Linked DNA regions of Rhinolophus ferrumequinum. The protein of the gene in region 1 interacts with the protein of each later gene in a biochemical or structural test. Links are inferred from orthologs where the notes say so. Each region holds a gene or a part of one and is shown in the gene's direction. Other genes may lie near its edges.

What was found.
Region 2: of the proteins of PTPRC (region 1) and CSK, one has a biochemical effect on the other in vitro, tested with the Homo sapiens proteins (2 studies listed by IntAct). The link is inferred for Rhinolophus ferrumequinum from reciprocal best matches to the Homo sapiens genes PTPRC and CSK.

What each region holds. Positions count from the first base shown.
Region 1 is NC_046310.1:2,392,257-2,407,417, reverse strand, and holds the start of PTPRC (receptor-type tyrosine-protein phosphatase C), read left to right. Parts: upstream 1-7,982; 5' UTR 7,983-8,104; intron 8,105-8,185; 5' UTR 8,186-8,228; coding exon 8,229-8,301; intron 8,302-15,161. UniProt on the Homo sapiens protein: Protein tyrosine-protein phosphatase required for T-cell activation through the antigen receptor. Acts as a positive regulator of T-cell coactivation upon binding to DPP4.
Region 2 is NC_046289.1:99,356,481-99,371,491, forward strand, and holds the start of CSK (tyrosine-protein kinase CSK), read left to right. Parts: upstream 1-8,421; 5' UTR 8,422-8,676; intron 8,677-8,891; exon of another isoform or gene 8,892-9,449; intron 9,450-10,581; exon of another isoform or gene 10,582-10,605; intron 10,606-15,011. UniProt on the Homo sapiens protein: Non-receptor tyrosine-protein kinase that plays an important role in the regulation of cell growth, differentiation, migration and immune response.

The sequences.
Region 1 (15,161 bases):
TTCAAATTGTTTGTAAATGAAATCTCCTTCATGGTGAAATTTGGGGGTTGGATTGCGTTCAAATTTAAGTTCTGTCTCAGAGTATAAATGTAGTAGGGCAAGTTTCCTCACTAATCTAGGCCTGCTTGTCCATCCATAAAAGGATGACATAAGAGTACCAACCTCACTCTGGTGCTGTGATTGAATGAGAAAATTCATGTCAATGCTTAGACAGACGGTGCTTGGCACATAGTAGGCGCTGAATGTACTTCCTACTGCTAGTCGTAGTCACACTGTTTACTTTGTGACTCTGCATTATAACCTTGGAACATCTGCCTGCCTATATTCTTTGAAATTTTGAGATTTGCTCTTAGCTGCCTGAAAGGAGTTTTGCTTTTGATCACCCATTATTTATGTGGACTGATTTCAAGCTGGATTCAGAAATTTCAGCTTGAAACTGCACATTTTGCAACGTTTATAACACTGTCTACTGATGGCTGACGTCCGCTGCTGTCCCCCAGTGCTATTCAAACCACTGCGTGATTCAAAGGTAGACTTTTAGATGTGTTTTCTTTTTTTTTTTTTTGAATGAAAAAATGTAAAACACAGACTCCTGTTTGACATCATTTTCAAAGAAGCAGCGCGACCAAGAAAGAAACTACCACCAGCCAGTGTTTCCATATTAAACTGACGACGGAGAGTTTGAGGATGTGACAAGTGATGGAGAAATGCACCTGGGGGCTAACATATTGGTGCAGGAAGACAAGGACCCCTGGCAGATTTGTGAAGGCAGCGTCAGGGACAGCTGAGGCAAAGTGAACTGTGCATCACCTTCTGGTTTTCATTTTCTATTTTGCTGAAAAATAATAATACTTGGTGTTATCATGAAGACTAAGTTAATTAATTAAGTAGGCCTCCAATCCATTACTTTAAGCAGTCTGAACTCATGATTGTCAAGCATGGGGTTTTGTTGGCACCAAAAGCGTATGACCTTTAAAAACGTTTCTTGTTTTATAGGAGACATACAGTGTTTCTGATACCTTATTACCTGTCAAACAATCTTGACACTTTAGTTTTTTCATGGATTGCCGATATATTATTTTATATATGAGGTAGTAAATTTTCATGGTTCCAGAACAGAACTGTAAACTAAGCCATGTAACAAAGGTGTCATGGGAGTGAGGGAATTGGAGGGAAAATGGAGATGGTTTAGAGAGAACACGTTAGGTCATAATTAGAGCGTGTGCTGAGGACGTAACAGAGAGGCGTGACTTCTGTTTCAAGCTATCGTATGTTCCAGCACTGTATTTCCTCATAGGATTTGGAAGCTAGTTTAGCTCTTGTTCTAACCTTGCTACATGTTGTGTTTATGCATCCAGCTTTGCAGCTTCACTAGACCAGAAAGAGCAGTCAGGCACTGCCAGGAGCCAGTGTAGAAAGAGAGGGAAGGAAGGAGAAAGAGAGGGAAAGGGAGAGGGAGAGGGAGAGAAACATCCTGCAGACTTCAAAGGAACCAACAAATGATAAATATGTCTTATAGTCAGTAATGTGAGGCGTGCAGTAAACCACACCATCTCAGCGAGGGCCTTAGGAAACAAGAACTCTGGAGTCCACAGAAGACTAGGCCAGAGTGGAATATTCTCTTAGTTTGTTAAAAACTATAAGACTTTCTCAGGGAGGCCCATTTGGAAACTGGCCTCAGAAGTCAATGCCTGTGTCAGAGTTCTTTATGCTCATAACTGGCTATTAAGCAATCTGAACTCATTGATATGCAAACATTACATAATTGTATTTGTCTCCTGCTTCTGGTCAGCGATTTCAGTGATTCTAAGACCCACATTTTATAAAACATGTTTTAACATTGCTGAAATCAGAAGACATCTTGCAACTGACAGTGCTTTTAAGCTGTGATTTAAAAAAAAGAAACAGCATTTTGAATTTCCCTTTTCCATCTCTTGGCTATATATAGGGCAAGTCTCACAACTTCTAAGTTATTTTGGGTTAAAAAAAAAAAAAGGATCATTCCAGCTGAGTTAAACTCTCCAGTCTCAGGTTCAATCTAACTCATTCACCTCCTCTCTTCCTTCTAGCAGCTGTCAGGCCAGTGCTCCTACAATAGTGTGGTTTGCAGAAAGGAACGATTGTGCTCAGGTCCTCCTCCCTCGCTCCCAGGTCTCTCCTCCTCTTTTTCCTTGGGGCTAGAAGGAGGAATAGGTTGTAGGTTCTATTGTACATGCTTTTAGTTATAACCTAGTGTGTTTACACCATTACCTGAATGCTTGTTAACTATTTAGTTCTTACAGCAACACTGAGAGTGTTTTAACTCCATGTTAGCATTAAATCACTGCTGGAACTAGGAGTTAGCCATCTTTCTTGACCGCTAGGCAAAAATCCCTTTTTCTTATTTATATCAGCATTGTCTATTTTACATCGTTGGCAGTAAAGTACAGGGATGCGAGGACAAGCTCTAGAAGAGTCAAGGTTCGAGTCCCCAAGCAGGAAAAGCTGTCTGAGCAGCACCCCTCCCCTTTATGCAGCTTGATGTTGACAAGACTTATTTTTATCTGGATTTGCATTTTATACAAAGATAGAGGGCAGTTTTACCAAATAACATGGATTTCCTCACTTAACACCTACATTTTCAAAAGATAAAATGTCAGAATTGCAGGAATGTATTTTTAGATCAAATGATAAAGATGGAGCCGTATTCCCTCCTTTGTGCTCCTGTAATATTTTGTTCGCGGATAAGAATATGTATCAGATTTTATAATTGTTCATGGTAACTAACTCAGTCATTTATTGAACTGGTAAACATTTCTTCCACCATCATCCCTTGTACTAGAGCACAAACATCCCGAGCATTTGACCATCTCCTACTCTTGCGAAACCCCAATATATGGCCAACCACAGCCTCACGTGTAAGTCTCATTCATTCATTCATTCATTCATTCAACAAATATCAAACTGTACCAAGCACTCACTCCTGGACTTCATGGCTCATCCTCCAGAAATCAGAAAACAGACGAGATTCTGAGACAGGAACTAGCACAGAGGGGCCTCTTTTAAGCGGGATGGTCAGGGAAATGTTACTGAGAAGGCGACATGTAAGCTGCTACTAAAAGGAAGTTATGTAAAGAGTGGGTGGTGGGGGTGAAGTAGGAAGAGCATTCTGGGCAGAGGCCCTGAAGTGGGGACGAGCTTGGCCTTTCAAAGAACAAAAAGACCAGTGTGGCTGGAAACAGGCATTAAAAAAGTGGAGGGATGTGTACAGAGGCTAGATTTTATTCAGCGTGCAAAGTGGAAAAATATTCAGAGGTGCTGGAGACCTATCCCAACCTGGTTTGTATTTAGAGGAGATCAAAATGATTGCTCTGGAGAAAATGTTGAAGGGAGATAGAATGGAAGCTTGGAAAACAGTTTAAAGGCTGTTTCACCCATGGTGGTACCTTGGTCCTAAGTAATATAATTGGAAATGGAGCACGAGTAAGATGGTGGAGCTAGAATGAAGGGGACATGTCGATAAGTTGAATGTAGTTGTGGCAGAAAAGGAGAAACAAAAAAAAAAATAACGTTTCTGCTATAAGTTCCTGGTAGGCTGGTACCTTTACACGTTGGGATAAGATTGGGAGTTGGGGCAGTTTAAAAAAGGGAGGGGTCGAGACTTCCACCTTCTGTTGAATAAGCAAATGTGATTCCAGAGACCTGAACTGTAGCTCTGATGGGAGATATATGTTGCGGACATCAGCACGAAGGAACTCCCCCAGAAAGAGAGAAGTGGGCCAGGATGGAGCTTTGATGTGTGATGACTTAGAAATCCGGCAGAGGAAGAGACGCAACATGGCAGCTGCTGAGGACAAGCCAGGAGGGTCCACGAAATCAGCTGATGATGGTGCTTTGGAAACCGACAAAGAAAAGGCTTAGAGAAGAACTTAACTGTATTTTGTGCAGCTGAGAAGTGACATGAGGTGAGGACAGAGATAAGTGGTGGTGTCACGTCTGGCAATGCAGATTATCATTGGCAAGAAGATTCAAGAACAATGTTTCAAGCACTTCCAGAGCTCCCCATTTCTCTGAAGATAAAGATAAATCTCTTAGGACACACAGGCCCAGCAGAGTTTGGCTATTATCCGTCTGATGTCATCTTTTGCTTTGTTTATGTCTCACTTCTTTTTGTAAAACTTGAGATACAATTGACATATAGCATTGTGTAAGTTTAAGGTGGATAATATGTTGATTTGGTGCATTTATCTACTGCAATTTCCAGGTTCTGCTTCTCTCTGCCATCCATACGTGCCTCTTCCTAATCCTGGAGCACACGCTCTGCCTGTAAATAGACGATTCTTTCTGCCCGAATACCGTTTTCCTCCCCACGACCACTTACATTCTATTATTTTTTAGGTCTATCTTCATTGCTTTTTATTTCAGGCAAAATCCCCTGACCTCACGACGGCATCAAATATCCTATTGTGTGTTTATTTCATAACATCAAATACTTCCTGTGTGCTGAAATTATCATGAGTTAATTCATGATTAACTTAATTACTTTCGTCCCTTCCACTGAAAGCAGGGAAGCACATGTGCTTTTGCTCAGCATTTTTCTTCACGAATGGAAAAATGATTGTCTTATATTAGGGGATGACTATTTGTTGAATGACTGAATGAATAATGTCTGTTTCTGCAGTTAACCTCGTATAATCTGTTTCTGTCTTTATATAACCTTTACTACATGTAACTCGAAACCTGGAAAATAGTGGTTAAGTAAAATATCATTTAGCATTTAATATTACAGCTTTTAACAATCTATTAGACATCAATCAGCTATGATTGTTTTGAAATTGCATTGGTGAAACTTTGAAATTGTTTTCAATACATACTGTTTTAACCACTCAGGAAATACCACACACTATTTTTTACATATAAACTCGGATGTTACTTCCCGGTCCTTTCCCAGCCTCAGGTGTTCTTCTTTAATTTTATTTTTCAATTACAGTTGACATGCAGTAATATATTAGTTTGAAATGTACAATGTGGGGGTTAGACATTTATGTAACACGATGCAATCACCCCGAAAGTCTAGTCTCCATCGGACAGCATACACAGTTTATTACCATATCATGACTATATTCCTAGCACTGTCCTTTATGTCCCGTGACTGTTTCTATAACTGCCAATTTACACTTCTTAATCCCTTCACCTTTTTTACCGTTCCTCCAACCCCCAGTTGTTCTTAAAAAATGCCGTTTATCAGCAGCCTGCCCACTCTCTCTTTCAGAATCAATGACAGTGGCTCCCACCAACAGTCACACACACCCTCCATTTCTGCAGGACTTTGTGGGCGGCTGCTTGCCTCGGCTCAGATGCTTGGCCTGTAAGAGATAATGCAGACATTTCCTTGGATGCCCTTGGAAAGGCCAGCCGCTAGCCACCCCATCTAGGTGTCCAGGTTAGTGAAAGGCGAGTGATGCCCTGTCCCCCGGCAAGCTGCGGGGGCCTTCTTCTTAGCACCGCCCTCCCCACCCGCTTGGGTCTCAGGCATATCAGACCTCTGGCTCACCATTGTGTCTGCTCTGCCAGCACCTGAATTATGCAGATTTACTTACTGACTTCTCTCTGCACGGTGCTCTATTTCTTTTTATCTTTAGTGTCCTCAGTATAAAGTGTGCCACGCACAGTCTCTTATTTCCTGTAGACCCTGAACTCCGTTTGAACACATGAAAATAAAATATCATTCTCCTCGTTTGGTGCTAGTTCATCTTAGTATGTGTTGGGTTGAATCTCTATCCACCTTGGGACTAAATCTCTGACATTCTTGCTATTTCTGAAAGGTCTTTAAAAATGTCTCTTTCAGGCTTCTAAACCCGTGTTTGGCTTGTTATGGACAGTGTATGTCTTATATCCTTCACTCCCTTGTACTGGATTGTCATGTGTTTTCCTCTGTAGGCTGCCGTAATAATAACACAACAGAACACAAGCGTTTGCTTAAGGATAGTCAATCGCAACCCCCAAATAGTTCTCCACGGCAATGGATTGTAAGAATTGGCTGTGGAGTTGAAGCTGATCCTGGAACAAGACAGGTTTGAACTGTGAGGGTCCACTTATATGCAATTTTTTCAATGACTACAAAGTCAGCCCTCTGTATCCTGGGTTTTGAATCTGTGGCTTCAACCAACCACAGGAGGAAAACAGTATTTTCCATCTGGGTTGAGAATCCGTGATGCTGACAGCTGAGTGTGCATTGTTCTGTCATTTTATAGGGGGGTCTTGAGCATCCATGGGGAGCCTGGAACCAATCCCTTGTGGATATCTAGGGATGACGGTAGATAAGTTATTTTTTGGCGGGGGTCGGTGTCAAAGTTATACTTGGATGTTTGACTGTGTGGGGTGTTGGTGCCCCGATCCTGGTGTTCAAAGGTCCACTGGTCTTAAATTCGGGACCACTGCCATATATCTCAATAGGCCTACCTACTGAAAAGTGGAGCTTACGTTTGCGGCTATTTTACTTAAAAATATGTTTGCAAAAAGAGAAGCACATCATTTTTATGGAATCACTATTCTATCTTTTAGAGATTGAAAATGATAAAAATCCTTAGTAAGAAAGATTGGGGAAAGGGGGAAAAATGAAGAAGGTTGGTAAGGAAAGGAAGGAAAGTGAGATGAAACTTGGAGAGGGTTCAAAACACAGACTGTGTCCTGGCTAGATGTGAGAGCTTGGACCCATCCCCTAAGCTCTCTGAACTTCCCGGATAAAAGAGGGATAAAAACATGGGGTCTCTCACAAGCTGTTGTACAAGTTAGATTACACAAGTAAAGGGCGACGTATCGTCCTGGAGGTGATGACAGCCCCGTGAGTTAGCTATGATCATAACCGTCATGATAAAATCGCAATCACAACAAAAATCTTATTATTGTGTTATTATCCAGAATTTGAGCGATGGGCTACTTCTGTTTGTACAAAGGGTATGTGTGTGCAAATTTGGCCCTGTAGCTCCTAGCAGCCAAAGTAAGAGTAAAACAAAGAAGTTTATAAATATCAAAAGATGTATGTACGTCAATACAAGGACCCTAGCAGTGCTTCCTAATTGGGGATTGGAGAGTTCTGGCAAGGGCTCTGTCTGTGTAGACCACCCCTAGGCATTCCCTATAGTTCGCACAATCGTGCCTGGTATGTGTGTGCACGATGTTTTTAAATAAACCAGATGTTGTGATAATGATATCAATTTATTTCATTGTACTGCTGAATCTGTAGTGGCTTCTTGCCAGTAGACATTTTTCTAATTTAGAGATGTGCTAAGGCCCTCATCAGGATCACGAAAAGCGTTGTAGTATGTTAATGTATCTTTTAATTAAGAAGGTTGGGAACTGGCTGAGAGGGGGGAAAAAAAGGTCAACTTTTGTAAAAGACAGTTCTTGAATTTTACGGCAATTCTTCCCCTCACGAGCTGCACTCAGACTGTCTCAAGTCACAGAAGCACTGATTTTCTTGAAGCAGGATTTGCTGTAGTGGAGTGCCGTTCTGATTTCTTCCCTGGCCCCACAAGGATATCAGTGAAAGATTTGGGGCCAACCTGCTAAACTCTCTGAGAGGGCTTTTGCATAGGAAATGGGTTTGACTGCCCCACGGCAAATGGTCCCAGTTGCCAAAAATAACCAGATCGGCTGTTATTTATTCCTTCATTTGGTCATTTTAAATCATACACAGGTATTTCCTACTAGTGGCTATCTTGCCAACCCCCATTTTGGTATGCCTGTGCTAAATTTGTGTTTTCACCTTTTAGCTAAGAAAATGATTACTTAGGGAGGATATGTTTTTTGTTTGTTTGTTTTTTGTAATGAGTACTCTAAGGGAGCATTAATTAGATACTCAGAAAACATCTTCCTTGAAGGAAAAAGTCTTGTAAAAGGCCTACTAAGTCTAGTTGCTTGAAGTAAGGAAGTAAGATGCCTTTGCACTTAGTTTAAACAACTTTCTTGACTTCCTGTAAAGAGGACCCTTTGCTAACTTTGGAGAAGTTAGTAAAACCGAATCTGACATCACTGCCTAGCAGCTTGTGTCGCTAGCAAGTGGTTTGTTCTTAGGGTGACAGAGGAGGAAATTGCTCCCCGTCTGACAAGACGACAGTGAAGAGTACGCATTCATTTCTTTTGTTTTTGATTCGGTTTTACAGAGAAAAACTTTTCAGAGATAACCATTATTTTGCCTTTTCAGAAGGACGCATGCTGTGTCATAGGAATACGGCTGATTTGCAGATATGACCATGCCTGTGTGGCTGAGACTTCTCGTATTTGGCTGTGCCCTTCTGGACATAGGAGTGTCTGGTGAAGGTAAGACCAAGGATATCATCCTTTCCTCGCTTTTGTTTTCCTTGTGGAGTGCCATCGGTTTGAAATAGACAAAAAAATACGTGAAGGGTTGGTGACTGGAAGTGATGAAGTGGCTGCGACCTGCTCAAGGCATTGTAGTTGAGACAGAGGTGGCTCGCTATGCCACAGAATACATTGTTTCTGTTTAAGAATACATTGTATCTGTTAAGATAAGTGTTGGGGGGGGAATCACAATTCACAAGGAAAGCCTTGTCTATCTGTATCTTTGTTTACCGACTGTTCAAGGGTATTAGCAAAGCCACATTGTTACTTAAGCCTTCCAAGTACACGAGAGGTAAACTTAGTCCAAGGAAATTTTAATAACAAAATAAGTGAATATTTATCCTTTTAAGAAAACATGAATTTTTTTAAAGTCACAATATGGCTTTGGTTGCATGTAAACCACTCCCTGTTTCCGGCCAGAAGATTGCTTCCTCAAATTTTGATTACTGGTGAACTATTTTATTGAGTACTTAGCTATGGAGTTTCAAACAATATACTTGGCTACTTCATAAAATAGTAACTTTGTGTGTATTCTCATCACAGAATGTGTTGGAAATCAAGTTTTTGGTTCCTTACTAACAGTTTTAATGCTTATTTGCTTTGGAAATTCTTACAAAGCCACCGCCCTTCCTGGTGATGGGTACATGTCAGAACCTCGATGAGATAAAAATATGTAAACCCAGCAATCATGTAAATGCTGTATTCTGTAGGAAAATACTAATTGGACTCTCGGTACCTATTTAAGTTGGAGATCTTTGTTGGGTCTGTTTAATGGGTATTTTTTTTGGAACAGTTTTAGTTCGGGTCATGAGTACATTTCGGTTGATGATTAAATGTAGCTAATAAGTTGATATTCAGTTTCTGCTTATGATGTAGCATGAAAACGCTGTTTTTTTTATTGGAAGGATACTGAAATGGTATTTTGGTAGGAATTCCAAGTCAGTTGGAAAAAAAAAAGGAGAAAATTGGTTTTAAAAGCTTTGCTTGTCGGAATTGACAGAGAAATGTTTCTCGCTGACTGTCCACAGCTCTCCTTTCCTCTGAACGCCAGGGTATAGGTACCTCCTGAGTGTGGTACACGGTCAGTGTAAGCACGGAGTGTGCAAAGCAGTGTGAGGTAGTGTGTGTGTGTGTGTGTGTGTCTTAACTACAAAGATCGATTAAAGCCATTTATATAGGTACACCATATTGTCTCAGAACACAAAATGTTTAGCAAGTTACCATCCCTGTAAGGTGCTTATCGTAACCAAAAACCAATTATAAAGGATGACAATTTTAATAGGGTGATCATATGTGTTTTATACATTGGAGTAAATTTCCGTTAAAAATTCCCACCCAGGAACTGTTGCAACACATTTCTGAAAGAGCATCAAGGAATAAGAAAATTTGTTGCCCATAGAGCAAACCACCGTAAAAATTTCAACTCAGTGTATTAACTATTTTTTACTGTAAGAAACATCTTGAATTTGTAATCAAGTTGAGAGTATAAAATGATCTAAAACTCTTGAAATCAATTTTGCTTATACTGTAAATAAATGGAGATACATAGATTTATTTGGAAAGAGCAAGTTTAAATTCAATTGCTCACTCAAGAATCAAGAGCAAACAATTTTCTCAATGCATTGATAATCTTCCTGAAATATAATACATACTTACTTTTGGGGGGAAAAATAGATGTAATCATCTGTGTCTGCAAATCTTGTTATCATGCATTTAAGTTCTGAGAGACATTTTGTGATTCAGTGTATCATTGGGGAAGTTAGTAGGCTTTATTTTTTAATTAATGCTTTAAATTATATATTTTTCTTCATTAGCAACCAATGAGTTGGATTATATATTTTATTTTAATGTGTCAAATTTAATGTTTGTAGGAAATATTAGACTTTTGGGTATGAAATCTATATGGTATACTCTGAAGACATAAAGAATAGGGCCAAATGCATAGAGACATCAGTGGATAAATATGTACACGATTCATACATGTTACTTCATCTCCAAATACAAGAAAGTTCAGCTCTGTCAGGGCAACAATGTTGGGGTGAGTTTTACACAAAAACTGGTAATCTCCGTGCTCTGTGCTCTTTTGCTATGAAAGCTGGAAACCAAAAAACTTTGTTTAAAACCTCTAACTAACTCTAGGGGATGATGATGGTTTCAAGAATGCAGATAGAGATGAATGTTCACTGGTCTAAAAAAGGTTTCAGGCACCTTTATCCCTCCATCACAGCTTGGAGAACGTGAGTTATGAGTCATAACAGTTAAGATTCATTTCCTGCACCTAATTCTTCATTTTGCCATCGACATGAAAGGAAATACCCCAGGTTGCAACATGGAGTGTGCCTTGCACATCACAGGTGTTCAAAACAAATTATGAATTGAACTTCATAAGCAATCCTATTATGTTCTAAATACTCTGTAATGTAGAGATTTGTCAGTATGATTATTTATTGATTTTTTTAAAAAAAAGTATTTCCCAATACAAACCTGCCTGAGACCCTTCTCATTACGGGAATTTAGAATGCATTTTATTAGAGGAAAGGTAAGGTGGGGTCACGGGTCTTTCTATGTCAGGAGGCACAGGGGCAAGTTGGTTGGCTTGAGCCGGGTCTTGGCCATGTTCTGGGTCACGTGACATTCTCTCACCAGTAATGAATAGTGTGGGATATACTCATAGGGATTTCTACTCTGTTCATGTACATAGGCATCGCACATACATACTAGTGTTTTATATACACTAGTTATATAGTACACACAACATATGTATTCCTAATATACACATATATAACTGTATATGTATGTGTGTATTATAAATACATACTTATATGTAAATAAATGAGCATATTTTTTAGGGAGTTCTATAACTCACACACACACATCTACCATCTGTCTAGCGTTCTCCACATTTGTCTACATTTAAATATTGGGGGTCTACAGGCTTCCATTCTCGGCCAGTTGCCTTCATGTTTCCTACTCTCAGAGCTTCTTCTCATTCCGTCCTCCGTGTTGATGAGCTCAATTTTCCATCTCCTGATTCATCCCTCACAAGTGGGACACCCTGCCTTCTTTTCTAAGCTTAATCTCATTTTTTGTTTGCAAAATATATACATATATTCTGAAATATATATATATGTATATGTTAAAGGCTCCCCAAGTCCTATAACTTTGCTTTCTAATCATCTATAAAATCATTTTCTGCTTTCCTCATCTCCTGAATTCATGCCTTATCATTTCCACCTGGGGTATTGGGAATAGGTTCTTCGTCTGTCTGAGGTCTTATCCATGTCTTTCCACACTCTGCAGCTTGAAACTGTAAGATAAAAGGGGGGAAATAACTGATGTCTCCTCACTGCTTTTTGCTGTGCATTCTGAACTCCTTGCCCGAGCAACAGTCCACTGACCAGCTGAGAGCTGGGCAGGCATCTTTTTTCTTTCTCTTCTGTGACTGATTAAAACAGACAATGCAGGCGGCAGTTTCAACACCCCCTTTACACTTCCTCACGGCTGCCCACTGAGGCTCTGTGGCAAATCCTGTTTCCTGTCAAATATTCTCTTCTATCACTCTTGCCACAAAATTTTGCCACTGAAATTGTACACTTTTACCACCCTTTCCTTGGGGTTTTTCACATGTTGTTTCCATTGGTGGTTGTTGTTGGTGGTATTTTTATTATTTCTTACTGTTGTAACTTACATGACAGCAGAAATTATGTCTTATGCTTTTTTTGGTATCATCTGTACCTGATTTTCTTACCAGGCACTGAAAAGTAAGGGATTTGCTTGTTGTTTGTTTGTTTGTTTTTTTAACAAAACTGCACATTATAATAATGGAGGAAAAGGAGGAGACGGACAAGAAAAATTTCAGAAAGGGAGGCCAGAAGGAGGGAGAAAACATGAGACAGAGGCAGAAAAAATGAGTCAGAGGCAAAGAGGGAGGATGGAGGCAGTAGGACCATTTTATCAAAATAATTTTGGATGTGGATCTTTATAGGCTTGTCTTTTTTTTCTATTTTTTCCTTCTCCCCATTTTACTTCTCAGCCGGAAAGATTCTCTGACACCTTAAAAATCCATAGTTCAACAATGCCGTTCCTAAACAAGGTTTTCCTTCACCTACTCTTTGGATAGTCACGCTAATGACCCTTCATCTGGTGGGTCAGTTTTGTTCTTCTGACACGGATGCCAGTAGGAAGAACAGTGAGGAATGGGGAGGGAGGTATGCTGCGAGCAGCGGGACAAGACAAATTCAGGTCCAGCCTCGCAGGTACCTGCCTGGGCACTGATGCTCGTGCCAGGGGGCTGGCTCCAGGGCCAAAGGGAAGACGAAACATGCTGCATGTTGCTTGGTGCACAGAGAAGTTTGTAGAGAGTCCGGGCATCGTTTCCTACTCCATAAAGGGATAATGAATTTCCATCTGACTGGACCAAGAGTAGCAATTTGCACTCAGGTAGACTAACTTCATTGGTGGAAGCCCAGAGTTCATGTAGGCAAGGTTTGGAGGGCAGACCACGTGTATGTACGTCGTCTTGGTGCAGAGGGAGACTTCTGGCGTCGCTCCAGATCTCTGATCTTTTGCAGCCATCTTGTATGTTATAGGCCTATTTACACAGGAGAAAATTGAAATGGAAATCGAACTGAATCTCTGTTTAAGCTTCATTTCACTCTAGTCTAAATAACTTCATTAGTAATCGACGCCCATACTAGTTGCCTGTTAACAAAGGACTAGCGCATACATAAACATAGTGCTGTTTAGGGAAGGAGGAAGGGAGAAAATGAAATGTTGCAGGCTGTTCATTCAGCAATATCTGTGATTGCTATCTCTTTCTACATAATACTGAAATATGCAGAAATAAAAATTATGGTAACTTAGATTTAGTGTACATGGTTCTAACCAGTATTTACAGTAGAAAATATCTAATTATCACCTAAAATTTTTAGTAAGCATTCCTGTTTATATGTCAGTGTGCTACTTCCATTTCAGTCTGGGGAAAGACTATTTTTAGCGGAGTATTGTTGTGTTCAGTAACCACAACAAATACAAGAAAAAAAAAAGCAAAAACTTTTCTACTCCTTCAGCCAGGACAAGCGTAAATATACATAAAGTCAATGTTAGTGAAATACATAAGCATCTTCTATGTCCATTCATAGTATTGATTCACTTCTGAAAAAGTAATAAGCAATATTATCAATGTTCTTCTTAGATTCTTTACTGAAGACCCCAACTCAAACATCTCCCGTGATGCTTAGCGATACAATTTTTAAAGATTACGCATATTTTTCTTGCTAAAAATAAGACACAAGTCTCTAAAGTGAAAAAGCTACCTTACTAAAACTTCAGTTTCTCCTATATATATAAATTGCATGGGTGATAAAGTGGTAACTCCATGCAATGATATTCAAGTAAAATCGATTGCTGCACATATATTTTAAAAATTACCCCCAACCAAAATGAGAGCAACAGGAAGAAAATCATCAAACCTCCAAAAAAGTGATCTGTGCAAGTCAGGTCAGAATCCAAGAGCTCAGTGCAAGTCAGGTCAGGATCATCTTATTAGGAAATAAAAGCTGATAAGACAAAAATGACTGATAAACAAGGAGAAATCATCTGTATTGTAAATAAAACAAAAAACGTATTCAAACCCGATTGCCATGAAAATAGATTAAAGAAACCTATATAAGTAACACTGATGTTAAGAGATAACATCAAAGGGAAGACAGCATGGCAATAGGTGTGTTTGCTGTATTTTAAATATCTCCCCTTAAAGTAAAAACAAAAACAACCCCCCCCCTCCAGTTATTTGTTTACTGATAAAAGGAGTATTAAGCATTGTGGGAAATGAGTCAGGAGACATTCCGAGTTGGAGGATACCATGGCATTTGGAGAGAAAACTATTTTAAAAATCTAATTCCACGAATTGTATGATCTGGACCCAAAACCGTTTCCACCCCTGAGATACACTTTCCTCATGTATGAAGTGTCGCAGGCGTTCAAAGTGATCGTATTTGTGAAAATGCTTTGAAAATCATGAGACTCTGCAAAGCTATAATTTTATTTTAGCTTTATTTGACCTCATGAGCTCAGAGCACAGAGCTCTCTCCCTTTGGACGTGATTGCAAGTGACGCCTGGCCCTCGGAAGGACTCTGAGGATGAGAGTCGCAGAGAATACACCCTTAGAGATACTCGCGTTCTTTTAACTTTGTACCCTGTTTTAGGGATTTTCAGGATAGTCTGGAGCCTTTTTAAATAGTTTGTAAATCCATCCCCTTTCCCAACTCTGCTAGGATTCTAATCACATCCGATTGTAACAACAGTCTCAAATCTTGCCTGCCTTCACTCTGTACCGCGTCTTACCCACCCCTCTGGATAATCTCTGTAAAAGGTAAAACTCGCCTTTGCCTGTCCCTCCTTCAATGGCTTCCTGTGGCCTACGGAACGCACTGGCCCCCTGACTTTGACCTCAAGGATGTTTTGACTCAACTTTTATGAAAATAAGCATTTAGTTAGAATATAACAACATTTATGAGTTTTCCTTGAGGACAGATTTCACAGGAAAAAATTCTTGTATGCCAATTTAATTCCCTGAATAATTTTTAAATATAGCCTGACTAAATCATTACTAATTTTTTCCATTTTTATTTTTATTTTACTGAACGAATGTTCAACAAAGCCAGTTTTCATTTATTTTTATGATTACTGTTCAATTTATGAATGAATTTTTATCCACGTCATTTTGCTGATGATAGCTTATGCCTTTGGGAATTTTCCATTATGGTTATGATTTTCATAAGTGTAATTTTGCTTGGCAAACAATATACATCTTAAA
Region 2 (15,011 bases), on another chromosome or scaffold:
CTGCCCTTTCCAGTTACCCTTGTTTCCCTATCCTCATCTCCCCCGGCCAGCCCTGCCACACTCCCTCTTGGGGAGGGTCAGCTCTGCCTCTGGCCCCAGCTGAGCCCGGGAGAGGGTCCTCTCCAGGCTCCTGGCAGCCAGCCTCTTCCAGAACACACATATGCCTGCTCTTCCGGCGTGGCCCTGGGGATGCGGGTCAGAGCCTTGTGACTTTGCTCTTCCTCCAGCCCATCGTTTTCCCTTCCTCGTGGGATCTGCGCTCTGGCCACCAGGAGGCGCTGTTCCCCCTCAGACTTGATGAGACCACAAGTCAGAACCATCAGAGACCAAACTACAAAAATTACTTTCACTAAAAATCGTATGTATTTACTTAGTAAGAGTAATAAAACTTCACTTAAAAATAATAAAGTAAAAGAGGGCAGAAGCCAAGTCATCACGGGGAGTGCAAAGGGAAGACAATGGCCTTTGTCTAATCGCTGCTATGAATCTGGCACTACCCACGCAGGACCTTACCTCATCCTCCCACCGCCTCAGTAGGGGTGGGGTCAGGGGGCACAGGGCAGGGTTCTAAGTCACGAACAACAGAAACCGACCTCTGGCTAACATAAGCAAAAAATAAACGTACTGCTCACAAAAGCAGAAGAAAAGGGCTCCAGGAAGCCGGCAACAGGAGACAGCTAAGATGGGGCCTCCAGTGCGGTTTGAACAGGATGCTGCCCCTGGCCTCTCGGCTCTCAGCTGCCGCTGAAAATTATCTCCAAGGGACCCTAGTGCTTGTGGTACTGCTTCCCTCTGTCACATAACCTCACCCTAACTGACCTGAAATCTCATGCTGCTTCTGCATCACAAGCTCAGGGAACCAAGCGGCTCCTCCCAAGCTTTGGTCCTGTCACCCCAACCTCAATCTTTATTCATTCAGCCAGTGCTAGGTCCCTGTTGACACCAAGCACCTAGACCGAGGCTCCCACACTTCAGCAGGCCAGCTTTCCCTCTGCGGCTGCTACTCACTGCTGCCTGCCTGTGGTAGAGGTGGGGGGGTGGGGGGTGGCAGAGGACTGGCTGCTGTACTAGAGGCTGAGGAATTAGAACTGCATGGCCCCAGGGGTGGTGGGGAGTCTTGGGGAGAGAACAGACCACCTCTCTAACCAGAACTGGCCCTGACTGGAGGAAGAAGCGACCTACACCTCTAGGGGGCTCCCTCTGTCAGGAGAGTGCCTCTGGAGACCCAGATGATAAGGGTAGCGGTTCAGGAAGATGGGCTGGGGGCACTGACAACAAGGCAGCAGGCAAGGACCTTCTTCTTGGACGGGGAGCCATGAGACCTGTGGCAGGAGTGACAGTGGAGACCCCAGGGAGAATTCAGTCACTCACTTATTCACTCAATACATATTTACTGCCACAGGCTCAGTGCCAGGCCGTGGAAGGACAGAGAAAAAGGAGCCAGTCCCTGTCCTCAGAGAGCACCCAGACACACGCTGCTTAGAATTAAACTCGGAGGGGCTGTACAACCAAAGGGAAGGGACATATCCTGCCTGGTCCCTGGAGCCCACTGAAAAAGGGCACTCCAGGCCCCATACCTGACGCACAGGTGGCTTCTGGAGCTCCTTTTGGCTCAGGAAGGGTCCCCTTCCTATCCAGCCCTACCCCACTCTCAACCAAGGGAAGGGACTTTTGAAAGCGGCCCTGATCGGACAGGGACAGATGTTAGCACCAGGCTTATTCACAGGATAACACCTGGACAACAGGATTTGCATGTGATTTGCAAAAGCTTGGCCTGACGCACAAGCCCGGCAACCTCTGGTTCCTGCTCCTGGTGCTCTGTCACCTCACCCTAGGCCAAGTTTCCAACCTTTGCACAACGGAGAACGCCAGGACCCTTTTCTTGCTTTCCCCTAAACAGTTCCCACGAAGAAGCCAGAACAGGACCGACTGGGGCTCCCAATCCGCAAAGCAGAGCCTGGGGACTTCTGGGTGGAGGTTGGTCCAGCTCAGAGCTGAGAGCTGGCAGGTGAAGGTCTCTGGGCAGCTCTGACGGGAAAGCCCTAAACTGTAAGAGGTTTTGCAAGCCCAGGACTCCAGGGGAGAGCCAAGGAAGCTTCTGGACCTGCCCAACCCCAGTGGCCCCTGGTCCCTGGGAAGTAGTCAACACGCCCTCAGTATTGGGTGAATGGATGATGGAGGGCTTCAATTCATCAGCCATTGTGAAACTGTCAGCTCAGGAACAGACAAAAGCCTCAGGGAGCTGGACTTGAATTCATAGAGGACAGCAGGGGAGAACCAGGACTACACAGCCTGCTTCAGGAGTCAGAGAAAAAATATTCATCTAACTGCCGGTGAGTGAAAGGTGCCTTGAGCCAAAGCACTGTGCCTGCAATTCATACTTCATCTCATCTTAGCATCATAAGTACCCTGTGAGGTTGGCCTCTCACTCCCATTTTAGAGATGATTAAACTGAGGCTCAGGAAGGTTAAGTGCCTTTTGCTTAAGGTCACACAGCTGGGCAGGCGTGAGTCCAAGACTCTAACCCAGAAGCTATTAGGATAAATTGGGTGAGAATGATGCGAGGGCATCCTGGGTCCTTCCTTTCCTTCCTAGGATCCGATGGCTGAGTTCCCAGGGATTCCCTCTTCAGTTTCCTTAGCGGCAGAATGAAATGATACTTACCTCACAAATATATTGCAAAGATTAAATGGCAATTAAGACATGTAAAGTGTTTAGGATAGTGTCTGGCACGTGATAAGCCTGGTATTAGTTAATGTTACCTGTTATTATTATTATTACTATTACTACTATTACTAACTGAAATTCATGGGTGGCCAGATGGCTCAGTTGACTGGAGCACATGCTCTTGACAGCGCGGTTGCCGGTTCAATTCCCACATGAGCCAGTGAACTGCGCCCTTCACAACTAGATTGAAAACAAAGACTTGAGCTTGGAGCTGAGCCAACGGTGGGCGACCAGTTGGCTCAGTGTTTAGAGCACGGTACTCATAACATCAGGGTCACCGGTTCGATTCCCACATGGGCCAGTGAGCTGCGCCCTCCACAACTAGATTGAAGGTGGTGACTTGACTTGGAGCTGAGCTGTGCTCCCCACTAGGTTGAGAAAAACAAAAACAAAAAACAACAGCAGCTTGACATCCTGGAGAAATGCACTGTTCCCCAATATTCCCCATTAAAAAACAAAAGAAAGGAAGAAATTCACTCATTCATTCAACCAACATCTGAGAAGCGGGTTCCAGCGGGTTCCAGCCTCCAACTACAGATCCGGAAACCCGCACCCAGGGGAAAGTCAGTGCTACAATGCTGAGAAGTGGGCCATGAGGGGAACAGGAGAGAGAAGGGGGTAGCCTAGCCTTGAGATTTGGGAAGTGTCACTGCAGCTTCCTGGAAGACAAAAAGCCAGTCAATTCTCCACCCAGAAGCAGGAAGGATCTTTTAAAAATGCAAATGTACAGTCGAGGCTGTGGTAAGCCCTCTAATAGCAGGGTCCCTCTGCCCTGAGGAGGGGATCCAAAGACTCCGTGGTCCACAGGTGGCCCTGCAGGCTCTGGCCACTCGGCCTCTGCTCCCTCGTGCCCTGCACCTCACCCCATCCTGGCCTCTTTCCCCTTCTCCCAAAGCTCAACCCCTTCCAGCTCCAGAGCCTCTGCTCCCATTGTCCCCTCGGCCTGCCTCGCAGACATCTCTTCTCCTGCAGGGTCTGAGCTCTTGGGAGGCGGCTCCAGTGTCCTGTACGCACATCACAGCTGCACATCCCTCCTGGGAACTCATCGCCTTGGTGACCATCTGTACTCCCCCCAGACAGAACATTGACCAAGACAGGAACTAAGCAGGAGGAAAGAAATATGTGCCATGAGGGAAGCACCAAGAAAGGTTGCAGGGATCCCAGGTACCTTGACCAATTCATGTTGTGGACCTGCCTCTGGATCTGCCCACTCTGGGGAGATTGCAAATCAGGGAGCCCAGGACCCTTGCCCTTCGGAGCAGAGGACCAGCTAGTTAACGCCCATGGTGTGGTTGGGGAGGCCCTATGTGCATGCTGCCTCGGGCCACAGAAGTGGGGTCCTCCAGCTCCCAATGGCCTCTCAGTTGGGTCACCACCTCTAAAGCCCCGAAGCCACCAACCCACCACCACCAAGACTTCTGCCACCATCATATGGGAAACAGAGACTAACTTTCCTAGGAAATACCCTTGGAGCAAATTGGTGCAACAAAGAGAACAGACTTTCATTTGACATTAAAAAAAAAAAATGCTTGTGCCTAGTAAGTACTCGGTAAATATTAGCTATCATCATCAGTAATAATAATAAAGTACCTGGCACATAGTAGGTGCTCATTAAATGGTAGTTCCCTGGTCCCAGGGGGACAGAAGTTGGAGACAGTTGGCAGCCACCATCCCTACGGAGTCAGAGCTGCAGGAGAACACTAAATGCAACCCTTTGGTGCACAGATGGGGAAACTAAGGCGTGAACAGGGAGGACTTGCCCAAAGGCAGAAGCGATTTCGGTCCCTCGAACTTCGGTCTCTTATGCCAACGCACTGTCCTCATGATAAACTCAGCCAGCCCAAGGAGAGAGGTTTTCAACGTGTGATGCCCCTAGATTCAGATGGGCAATGCTTACTCCCAAGGAGAGCTTTGTGCGTTTGGGAGCTCAGGCTCCTTGAGGAGAATGCAGGCTGAGGCTTTGCTTTGCCTCTGCAGGAGGCGAGCACAGCTTCTTGACTTAGTGCAGCTCATGGAAGCCTGTTCTCCTGCGGATCAGGAAGGGAGAGAGGTCACATGGGAGGCCCACCTGGCCCCCTGTCGATTCCACAGCTGCTGAGCCTTTAGCAGGTGTAGATATCAGCTTGGTCATCCAGCCAAGCAGCCCCTGGTGTTCAGAGAGCAGGGGCCCCTCTGGGCACTTGCTGTCTCCTGGCTTCTGGCCTTCCTTAGGGACCTCAGCTCTAGCACTGGTCTGGTCTCCCTGACCACCTTCCTTAAGCCCCCCTTCGCACTTCTTCACCCCTTGACCCATCCCCACAGGTCAGTGAGACCCTGCAGCAGGGAAGCGGCATTCACACTGGGCCTGAGTGACCTCAAACTCATGCCCTTCCTGCTTGGTCTCCCTGCCCCCCAGATATCCCCAGTGCTGTGTCCTGTCAGTGCCAACACCAGCCCTCTTTCCCAGTGACGGCTCCTTCCACCTTCCAGTCTTTTTCTGGAGGAGGCTCATTCCCCAAAGGCCTGGCAGAGTTCCGGGGTGTGACGGTGATGACAGGGCCAAAGAACAGCTCCCAAAGCAGGAGGGCCAGCCATGCAGGGCACCCCAGGTGTTGTCAGCAAGGGAAGCTGCTCACATCAGCTCAGCCTGGGCACCTGCTCTGCAGGAAGTCGAGGGGACTTTGCTGGAAATCTGCCTTTAATCTTGGCTTCCTGTTTTCTGCCCTGGGGGACGCCCAGACGGGACTGAGTTTCAAACTATTTCACACCAGCTTCTCTAAACTGTCATCTCAAAGCAAAGAGGCTGGGGGAGGGGAGGAGCTAGGGTGGCTGAGAAGAGGCCCTTCCCTTCCCAGGAGACCCTGAGAGCAGAGTGCAGCCCACCCATGAAGGTGTTTAAGCTCCGGACCTCTGGCCATCAATGACCAACCTAACTTTGCATCGAGCTAGCCCAGTTGGATCTTATCAAAATGCAGCCCAAAGTTCTGAGCTCCATTCCCTACATCCGGGGTCTCCAGCATCTCCTCTTTTCTCCTTTCCGTCACGCCAGGGACAGGTAGCCCAGCCTGGGAAAGCTAGTGCTTGTGCCTACCTGGCTGGGACGGGGCTCCTCATCAATTCCTCCCAAATCCTAATGATTTGGAGGAATCATTATTCCTGCTCTAATGATTTCCTTTCCTAAAGTCCATTGCATGGGGAAGCTTTGGAGGTCCTCAGACCTGAAGCCCAGGCCTGGGAGTGGACTCGGAGAAAGTTTTTTCCTGTTCTGAGCCTTGGTGTGTAAAAGGTGGCTCCAAATCCTGGCCTGACATCTCCATGTCTCACAGGTGTCTTCAACTCAGTTTGTCCAAAATCCAGCTCCTGAGCGTTACTCCCAGCCTGCCCCTCCCCCAGGCCCTCCCACCTCAGGAAACAGTACCAGTTTCCTCGATTGCTCCAGCCACACCTGAGGACCAGGCCTGCTTTCTCCTGTGGCCTCACTCCCCACAAACAGCCCTTCATCAAGAGCTGTCACATGGCTCTCCTTTGTCCATCAGAGCTCACTCCTGTCACCACTGGCAGGACCATGCAAAGCATCGTCCTGGTCTCCTGTCCTTCACTCAATCATGTCACTCCTCTGCTTAAAATCCTTCAACAGCTCCCCATTGCTCATGTAACAAAACCCAAACTCATGTAACAAAAGCCTTGGTCCACAGTGCCCTCCAGGACCTGGCCCCTTCCTCACACTGCTCTCCCCCGCTTGCTGATCTTGTCCCTCAAGCTGCTGAGCCACCTGTACCTGACTCCTGGTCTGCTGTCCTCCATCAGGCACTCATCACCTTCATACCACAGTGTCTAATTGCCCTGTTTATTGATTTATCCTCTTGGACAAGACCCCTGCTTACTCTTTGCTCACTCCTTCATCTCCAGCATCCAGAACAATGCCTAGCACTTAGTAGGTGCTCAATAAGTATTTGTTGAATGAGTGAATGAATGAATAAATGAATGAAGAAGGTTGGAAGTTACTTGGCTCTTCCACTAGAGGAGAGTTCTGTGGGGGCAGGGCCCTTTATTGATTTGTCCCCTGTGCCTATGGTTCAGGGAAGTTAAAAAATTTATTTCACTCTGCTGTGAAGAGGTGGAGTCAGGATTCAAATGCAAGTCTGTTTGACTCCAAAGTTCACACTCTGGGCCACATACACCCAGGGAAAATGTCAAATGTACTTGGGGTTAAGGGAAGATGGGTAGGTAACAAAACTGGGCCAGGGATTAGAGCCTTTTCCCCACGTCCCCACAGCCCTTTCCCATTTTGCAAGCTGACTCAGCCAGGGTAGGGGAGATGTCAACTTCTCCCTTCGGAAGGCTTTGCAGAGCTGCTGAAATGCTTCCCTTTAGGCTAAGAGGTGGCCCCATCCGGTCCCACTTTATCATTCCATCTTGACCTCATCGGAAAGAAAGGGAAACCAACTGAGCTAAGCACCCCCTCCGCCCTCCCCCAAAGCCGTTATCTTGCTGAATCTGTACCATCTCTCATAAGAGAGATGTATTTTGAGCTTGATCTTACAGAAGAGGAAACTGAGCTCCGAGACCTTAAGTAACTAACCCAAGGTCACACAGCTAGTAAATGGCCCCGCTGAGATTTAAGATTTGAACCTTAAATTCGTGCTTTTTTCCACCACAGTATCTCTGAAACTTACTGGATAGCTCCTCAAAGGCTAGGGGTGTGACTACCACTCCCCTCCTTAAAGGGCTGGAGCCTTAGTGGCAAGCTGGCCAGGGGTGCATTGGGTCAGAAGGTCACCTGTGGTTTGGGTGAAGGCACACCCAACTCCTGCTCCTGGTATGTAAGGCTCTTCGCAATCTGCTGCCACAGTCTCCCCAGCTCACTCTCCCACAGAGCCCTTTACTGTCCACCTCACTCCCTCAGCCCCTCGCTTATTGTGAATTTCAAGACTTTGTCAGTACACCTCATTTCCCTACCGGAGAACGTCCCTCCTCTGTGCCCACACAATCCTGACTCTTCCTTCACGGCCCAGTCCCTAGGAAACGCCTCCACATGTCCTATCTGCACCGGAGTCTCTGGTCTCTCCCCGTCACCGACCCCACTCTCTAACCCCCCACCCACACCCACTGTCTGCTCCTGTAGCTCAAAGTAGATCTCCTCCCTGCTCCTTGTTAATAATGATATATAACAACACACGAGACTTGACTGAAGGCTGACCATGTGCCAGCCCCTGCTCACTAAGCACTTTAAATGTATTAACTCATTTCCTGTCCTACAAAACCTTAAGAAGTTGGTGCTATTATTTCCCCCATTTTATCAAATGGGGAAACTAAAGCCCAGAGAGGTTATTAACTTTCCCAAAGTCACGTAGCTGTTGACAACATCCCCATTGCCTCCAGGCTGAAAACAAAGTCTAAGAAAGTCCCACAAGGCTCTTTGGATCTCTCTAGTCCCTGGTCTTCCGGGGACGTCATCTCCTCCCACTCTCCTGGACCTACACTGTCATACTGCGCTATTTCCAGGTTCCAGAGCCATCAAGCTCTCTCATCTCTCCCTGCCGCGGTCCATGCTGTTCCCCCTGCCTAGGGTCCCAGCTCCATGAAATCTCCCCATTCGTCTCCCCCTTTTCCGCTTCCTGTGGACCTTGTACACCATTATCAGTTATTTCTTTGAGCTTGTCTGTTGGCCGGTCAGTAGTGCCGAGAACACCTTGACAGTAATGTAGTGGTCCTACTAGTAGACTCCGGAACCGGGCCCGTCTCATCGTCAGCGCCATTAATCGTCTGAGAATAAATGAATGAATGAATGCTTCCTGCTGCGAGTGAGGCCCACTCTTCACAAACAGATTCAAGGAGAAGGGCCCAGGCCCGGCCTCAATCGCTTCTACAGCAGGGGAGCTGCGCCCCGGGAAGGCTGCTGGTGGCTCCAAGGCGGGCTGGTCGGCCCACGGCGCGGGACCTTCGGGAGCCTCCATCGCAGGCCTGCAGGTGGGGGCAGGGCGTGGGCGCGGACACACCCCCCGTAGTGCCCCCGGCGCCCGGCAGGGGGCGCCGCCTCCGCCGGCCCACGCCCCACTGGCCCACGCCCCGCCGCACGCCTGGCAGGCCCCCTCGCGCAGGCGCGCTGCCGCGGGCGGAGGATCCGGGCGGCGCTTCCTCTCGCCAGGCCTGTGAGCTTCCTCCCAGCAGAGCCCCGGGCGAGCTGAGCTTGGCCGCCGCCGCCGAGCCCGCCGCCGCCCTCCCGTTCCCGCCCCACCCCGCACCCTGTCGGGGGTCCTGCCGGGGTGGGGTCCGAGTGGGGCGACCCTCCGGCCTCGCCGCCGTCGGGACCGTCCCGCCAGCCAGCGGTCCCTCCCGCCCCAGCCAGCCTGTGGCCGCCGGAGCCTCCGGGGCGTGGAGCGCGGGGAGCCCCCCGCGTCCTGGGCGGCCCCCGGCAGCCGGCGCGACGTTCCAAAATCAAACCTTGGTGGCGGCGTTCGGAAACGGAACTCTGCCGGGGCCGCGCCGGCTACATTGTTTCCTCCCCGATTCCCTCTCGCCCTCCTTCCCCCGCCTTTCTTCCCTCCCCGACCCTGGCCGCGCGGCTGCCCCCTGCGTCCGTCTGGCCGTCCCTCCTTACCCTCTCTCCGCACTCCTACCTCTTTGTACCGCATCCTCCGGGGACCCCTGCGCCCCTCCCCTCTCCCCTGGCGGCATGGACCGTCCCGCAGGCCGCTAATGCTGCCCAAAGCGAGGTGGCCCGGACCGCAGTGCCCTGAAAGGTGAGTGCGTTTGAGTATTTCCCGAGGGAGGAGGGTGGCGGTCTCACGTCCCGCTTCTGTTACTGCTGTTGCAGCTGCCGTCGCGTCCACTCCCATCCCCCACCTCCCTTACCCCCTCCTTCCCGGTTTCGAATTCTCCCGGGAGTCACTGTCAGCCCGACTGGGAGGGGAGCACAGGAGGGAAGTATTGCCCTATGAGCCCCCACAGACTTCGCTCAGGCCAGCCGAGTCTGTCCCCCTGTTTCCCCCGTGTGGGGTCTGGCTGTAGCCGGGAGGGAAGGGGTCAGCCTGGGCCAGAGCCCTGGAGAATGGGCAGTTTGCCATTCCCTACCCAGGGCCTCCCTGCAGGTTCCCTGGTCTGCCTGGTTATGACCCCTCCCTCGCTTCCCAACAGAGGCCCTGCCTGCTCTAGGAATCCCAGGGCCCAGAGATTGAGCTTGTCACCCTCTGCCTCACAGAAAACCAGGCTTAAGCCAAGGAACCTCTGACCTTTGGGTGGGGAAACTTGGCAGGGCCACTGTCCTGGGTAGAGGTGACACTGGGCATTAGGACCATGCCCCCACCGCCTGGCAGCCTGGTCAGCCCATTCTCCCAGGCTCCTCAGGGCCCAGGCCAGGTGTCAGGAAGGGGCGTGTCCAGCCACCAGATCCTTGGAACTTAACTAGGGGTTCCTTTCCTCTCCCCTCCTAGTAGACCAGGGAACTGAGGCTCAAAGGGGGAAGTTGCTCCCCCAGGCTTCTGGCAGAGCTATGCTGTCTATCCATCCATCCCCCGCTCTACAGAGCTGGACTGCTGTAGGTAGAGGGCAGCCAGGCAGGCACCTTCACTGACCAGGGACACAGGCCCCCATCCTGGCCCAAGGGACCCTGTGGGGTGAGCATGTGCTCCCCTACAGAGGGCTGTAGAGGAGGCAGAGGACTTCCGGCCCCAGCTCTGCCTGCGTATGGGCTCAGGCATCTGCACTGCCCCTGGGGTTACCCCCGGTGCCTGAGGCTGGGTCCCACTGGTGAGGATGTGGGGACACCTGTCTGGTGTGGCCCTGGCACTGAGCTGAGACAGCCTGGTATTCAGTCGTGACCCTGCCCTCCCACACCTTTGGCCCAGATGGCATAGGAACAGCCAAATTCAGAGCGTGAATGGGATCCACATGGGGAAGGTGAGAACCCTGTTTCCACAGGGAACGCCCCACAGCCTTGGCATAGGAGCATTTTCAGGGGATACCCAGGGGCCTGTTCCCAGCTCCCCACACCATGGGGATCTCAGCGTCTTTCTTGATGGGACCCCAGGGTGAAGGCAGCAGGAGGGAGATTGGGAGTGTGGCAGAATCCTCTTGTTCCTGGAAGGGTGGGAGTTTCCCTGGAGGACACCGAGCCATGTCTGGGGCCCTGCTCAGGCTCTGCCCTTGATTAGAAGTTTTTTCCCAAGTCTCCCTGACATGCACAGTGGAGAGGACCCAGATGAGGTCGGCCTGTGAGGCTCCCCTCACCCAGCCCTAACTTCCTTTCCAGCCTGGGGTTGGGGCTGAGGCCTGACATGGTTGAGCTGTACCCGGGTGGCTGGGGTCCCGCGGCCTTTGTAGACCGGGGTCTGGCTGCAGGCTGGCACATGTGCAGGGATGTGTTTTCCTACCTGGCGAGCTAGGTGCCTTCCTCCCTCTCAGAAGTGACTGCTTTTCTTTTTGTTGGATCGGGGGCAAGGAAGGACCAGAAAACAGTCCCCAGCACCACTGCAGGGGACACTGGGCCCCAAGACGGTGAGACACTACAGAGCATACAGGCGGGGGTTGAGGCCCAGGAGCCACGGTTAGCTGCCCCAGCAAGCCGCCAGGTGGCCTGAGTGGGCAGGGCAGCCTGGGCCCAGTTCTGGCCTCCATCTTTTGAGGAATTTCAAAGCCTTGACACATAATCTCCAAAGAGCAGAGGTATTTGGTACGGAAAAGAGAAGGTAGGGAGAGACCCTCACGTGTCTGAGGGGCTTTGCCATGGTAGAAGCTGTCCCAGACACCAGGGCCAGAGCTGGGGGCAGGCGGGGCCCAGGGAAGTGAGTCTGCGCTCATTGCGAGAAAATTATGTATGTATTAGTTTCTTAATTTAGAAAGTAACAAAGCACTACAGGAAATGTAGAAAACAAAACAAAAATCACCCACTGTTTCTTCCCTGGCACAGTGACTAGCATTTTGGAGTTCCCTGCCAGTCTTTCCTGGGTTTTTATTCCTTCGTCGCTATTGTCATTTCAGTGTACATGCCATGACTTTTTTCATTTAATACTGTGTCTGTGGGCATTTTCTCATGCTGCTACATGGTCTGTGTAACTTTGCCTCCGGAAAGGTGTAGAATTTTCCAAATAGCTGCCACAGCAACCCTACCCAGACCCTCTTACTAAGCGTATGCACTGTTGTTTCCTGACTGTTGTTGGGGTGGTGGTTGCTACAGGCCCCCATAGTGACCAGGAGTATCGGAGAGAGCAGGCAACTTGACAACCATCCAACCTGGTTTCCAGGCCCAGCCATGCCACTTAGGCCCGGGAGGAGGGACCTTGGACAGGTCACCGTTTGAGACAGGGTTCCTTTATGTACACACCGGGGACAGTGTCCCTGCTCCAGAGGGAAATGTGCGGGCAGTGTGAACACTCCAAGGTGCTAGAAAGTGCCTGGCACAGCCCCTGGCCGTCACAGGCACTTTGTCGGGGCGGGGGAGGGGGCATTGTTGATGGAGTGCCCACCACAGTCTGTGGAGAAGACGCTGGGCCAGAGGTGGCTGGTGGCTCACCAGCCAAGGGCTGCTCTGTGGCCCGGGGCCCTTTTAAAACCCTCTGGCCCTGAGGCTCTGGACTGCTCTGGCTAGTGCCCGTCCCGCCTTCCTGCCTGCCCCCTTCCTGTCACCCTGTGATTGGCCGGCCCAGATCACGGCCTGGCCCTGAGAAGATGGGTTACTGGTCGGTTTCTGGGACCTGACCCTACCCTTCCTTCTCTTCTCCCGGCATCCGAGCTGAGTGAACAAGGCCTCTGCTCTGAGAGCCCAGCTGCCTCCCGTCCCCCAGCTTTGGCTACTTCCTCGGCAGGCCCCTCATTTCCCCAGTGGACATAGAGGCCTACTTTCCCTGGGAAAACTGAGACTTGGGCAGGGAACCCAGGCATTCTGACCCTCAGCCAGCCTCGTCTCCGCACCCTTTCCCAGGGCCCGGGGCAGGGAGGAAGCTGGGGCAGGCAGGGATTTTAGGGCTCCCCCGGCTGGGAGTTGAAGAGGACCTAGGTGGCCAACAGATCCCTGGGGAAGTCTTGTGTGTCAGCGTCCTCCTCCTTGGAAGGTGTTCCCCATCTAACCTGAGTGTGCATTCCCGTGACATTGCATGCTTTCTCTTGTTCTGCTTATCTGGAGACCAGAGAACTGGGAGTGCCCTCCTGGGACCACCCCCTTGGACGGGAGGAGGAAACCAGTCTCAGCATGGCACCCCTGAGCCTGGGAGACCATCGCCCCAGATGACCCTAGGATGGACCAGGACTACCCCAGGCAGAGGGTCCTCCCCTAGGTGGCCCATTCAGTGCCTGACCTCGGACTCTGGCTGCCAGACCTCTGCCTGTGGAGTACCTCCCTCCTCCCTGGCCTGGTGCAGGGGAAGTGGGTATTACAGCTGCCCTCCTGTCCCACAGCTTGGGCTGGGATGAGGTCACAGGGTGGGGTCCTCTCCAAGATGCTGGCCTGGCTGGGGTGAGCCCTTTGGATGTTTCTCAGTGCCTCCCCTCCTTGGTTGGGGACAGGATGGGTGGAGGAGCAGGCCAGCCCCCCCACACTAGGCAGGGAGCACTACCTCTCTTTCTCCTCTCCTCTGGGTCCCTTCATCCAAGGGCTGGAAATAGAATCTGCTAAGTAATGATTAAAGTCAAATTTAGACCTAAAAATAAAGAGCTGGTAAAGGAAGAGTTAGTGTGCTCCCTGCGTGGCTGAGGGGAGAAGCTAGTAAGGCGGGACTAGCTTCGGGGGGCCAAGCCCCTTCTTCCCAGGAGAGGCCAAAGCCCACTGGGGTATTGGGAGTGCTTCACCAATTGTGGGGTCTCTTAGCGAGCAAGATGCAGCCTGCACCAATCGGGCAGGTTGGCTGGACCAGGGAGAGAATCCTACTTTTCGCATGGGGAAACTGAGGCCCAGAAGGACGAAGTGGTCTATCCAGTGACTGTCTGAGAGCTCTCTTTGGTAGGCCCCCAGGGACCTGAGGGCCCCATGCCGCCCATCTCACCCTTTCTGCCTGCTCAGTTTCTCTTCCTGGTTTTGAGGTACTGTGATGAGAGCAGCTTCTCATCACACACTCTCTGTGTACGCCTCGGTGGGGCTGGGCCTCCAACCGCAGCTTCCCTCCGCCTCCCCCGCCCCCACCCCTTCCGTGGTCTGGGCCCAAGTTGCAGGAGCAAGTAGGAGAGAGGCTGCTGGGTGCTCCCCTCTGCCTGTCCTGCTCTCTGCACAGGTGGAAGCTTTGTGGGTGGGTGAGAACCTGGTGTCATCTGACGCCTGCCCACCCTGGCTGCTGCTTCTCAGCCCTGCCCAGCACCTGGTCCTCACCCAGACCCGGGCATCTGTGGCCTGTGTTGTCCACGCTGCAGTGAGACTGGAGGGGAGAATGAAGAAGGAACCCTGTGAGCTCCCAGTAGGGAGCTGGCTAGTAGGGGAGATCAGACTCAGGAGTCAGTTAGGGCAGGCCTTTGGTTCCCACTTCCTGGCAGGGCTGGTGGGAGCGCAGATCGCAGAAGCTGGGGATCTGCGTAGGCTGGAGCAGCCAAGAGGGCTTCCTGGAGGGGAAGGGCCATGAAAATCAAGAAGCATTTGCAGAAGAAGCAGGGTGCAGGCAGAGGTCGTTGCTTGAAGCTTCTCCCCTCTCTAGGGCTGCGGCTTCTCTGTGTGAGACCAGGTATGGCAGACAGGAGTGGGCAAAGATGTAGCTAACCTGTGTTTCCCAAAGCAGGAGGGCCACGCTCTGGGAAGACCTCCCCTATCTGTCCTTTTTCTTTTCTTTTTTTTTTTATAAACTTTTATTCATTTAAGTGTGTTTTTCCGGGACCCATCAGCTCCAAGTCAAGTAGTTGTTTCAACCTAGTTGCAGGAGGCGCAGCCCACTGGCCCATGTGGGGATCGAACCGGCTACCTTGTTGTTCAGAGCTCGCGCTCTAACCAGCTGAGCCGACCGGCCGCCCCCTATCTGTCCATTTTCACGATGTCATCTGTCCTGCCCAAGGGAAGGTTGGGGGTTTTTCTCCTGACCAAGTTCAGACAGTTCTGAGCTCAACTTCCGGTTTTACCCCTTGGAAGCTGGGTGACCCTGCTCAGAGCTGGTTCCTCATCTGTCAAACAGATCAGCAGGGAAACCTCACAGGGTTTTTGGAGGATAGAGTAACTGAGGCAGGATGGCTCAGTAGGCTCTCATTCTGTGCTTTCCTTTTTGTAGCCCGTCCTTCTGGGAGAGGTGTTGCTATCCTCCTCCTCCCTCACATGGCAGCAAAGCTGGATGTCCTGTGTTGGGCCCCCATTGCTTTCCCTTCCGAGCTCTGTGTTCTGGGGGTCCCATTCTGAGATG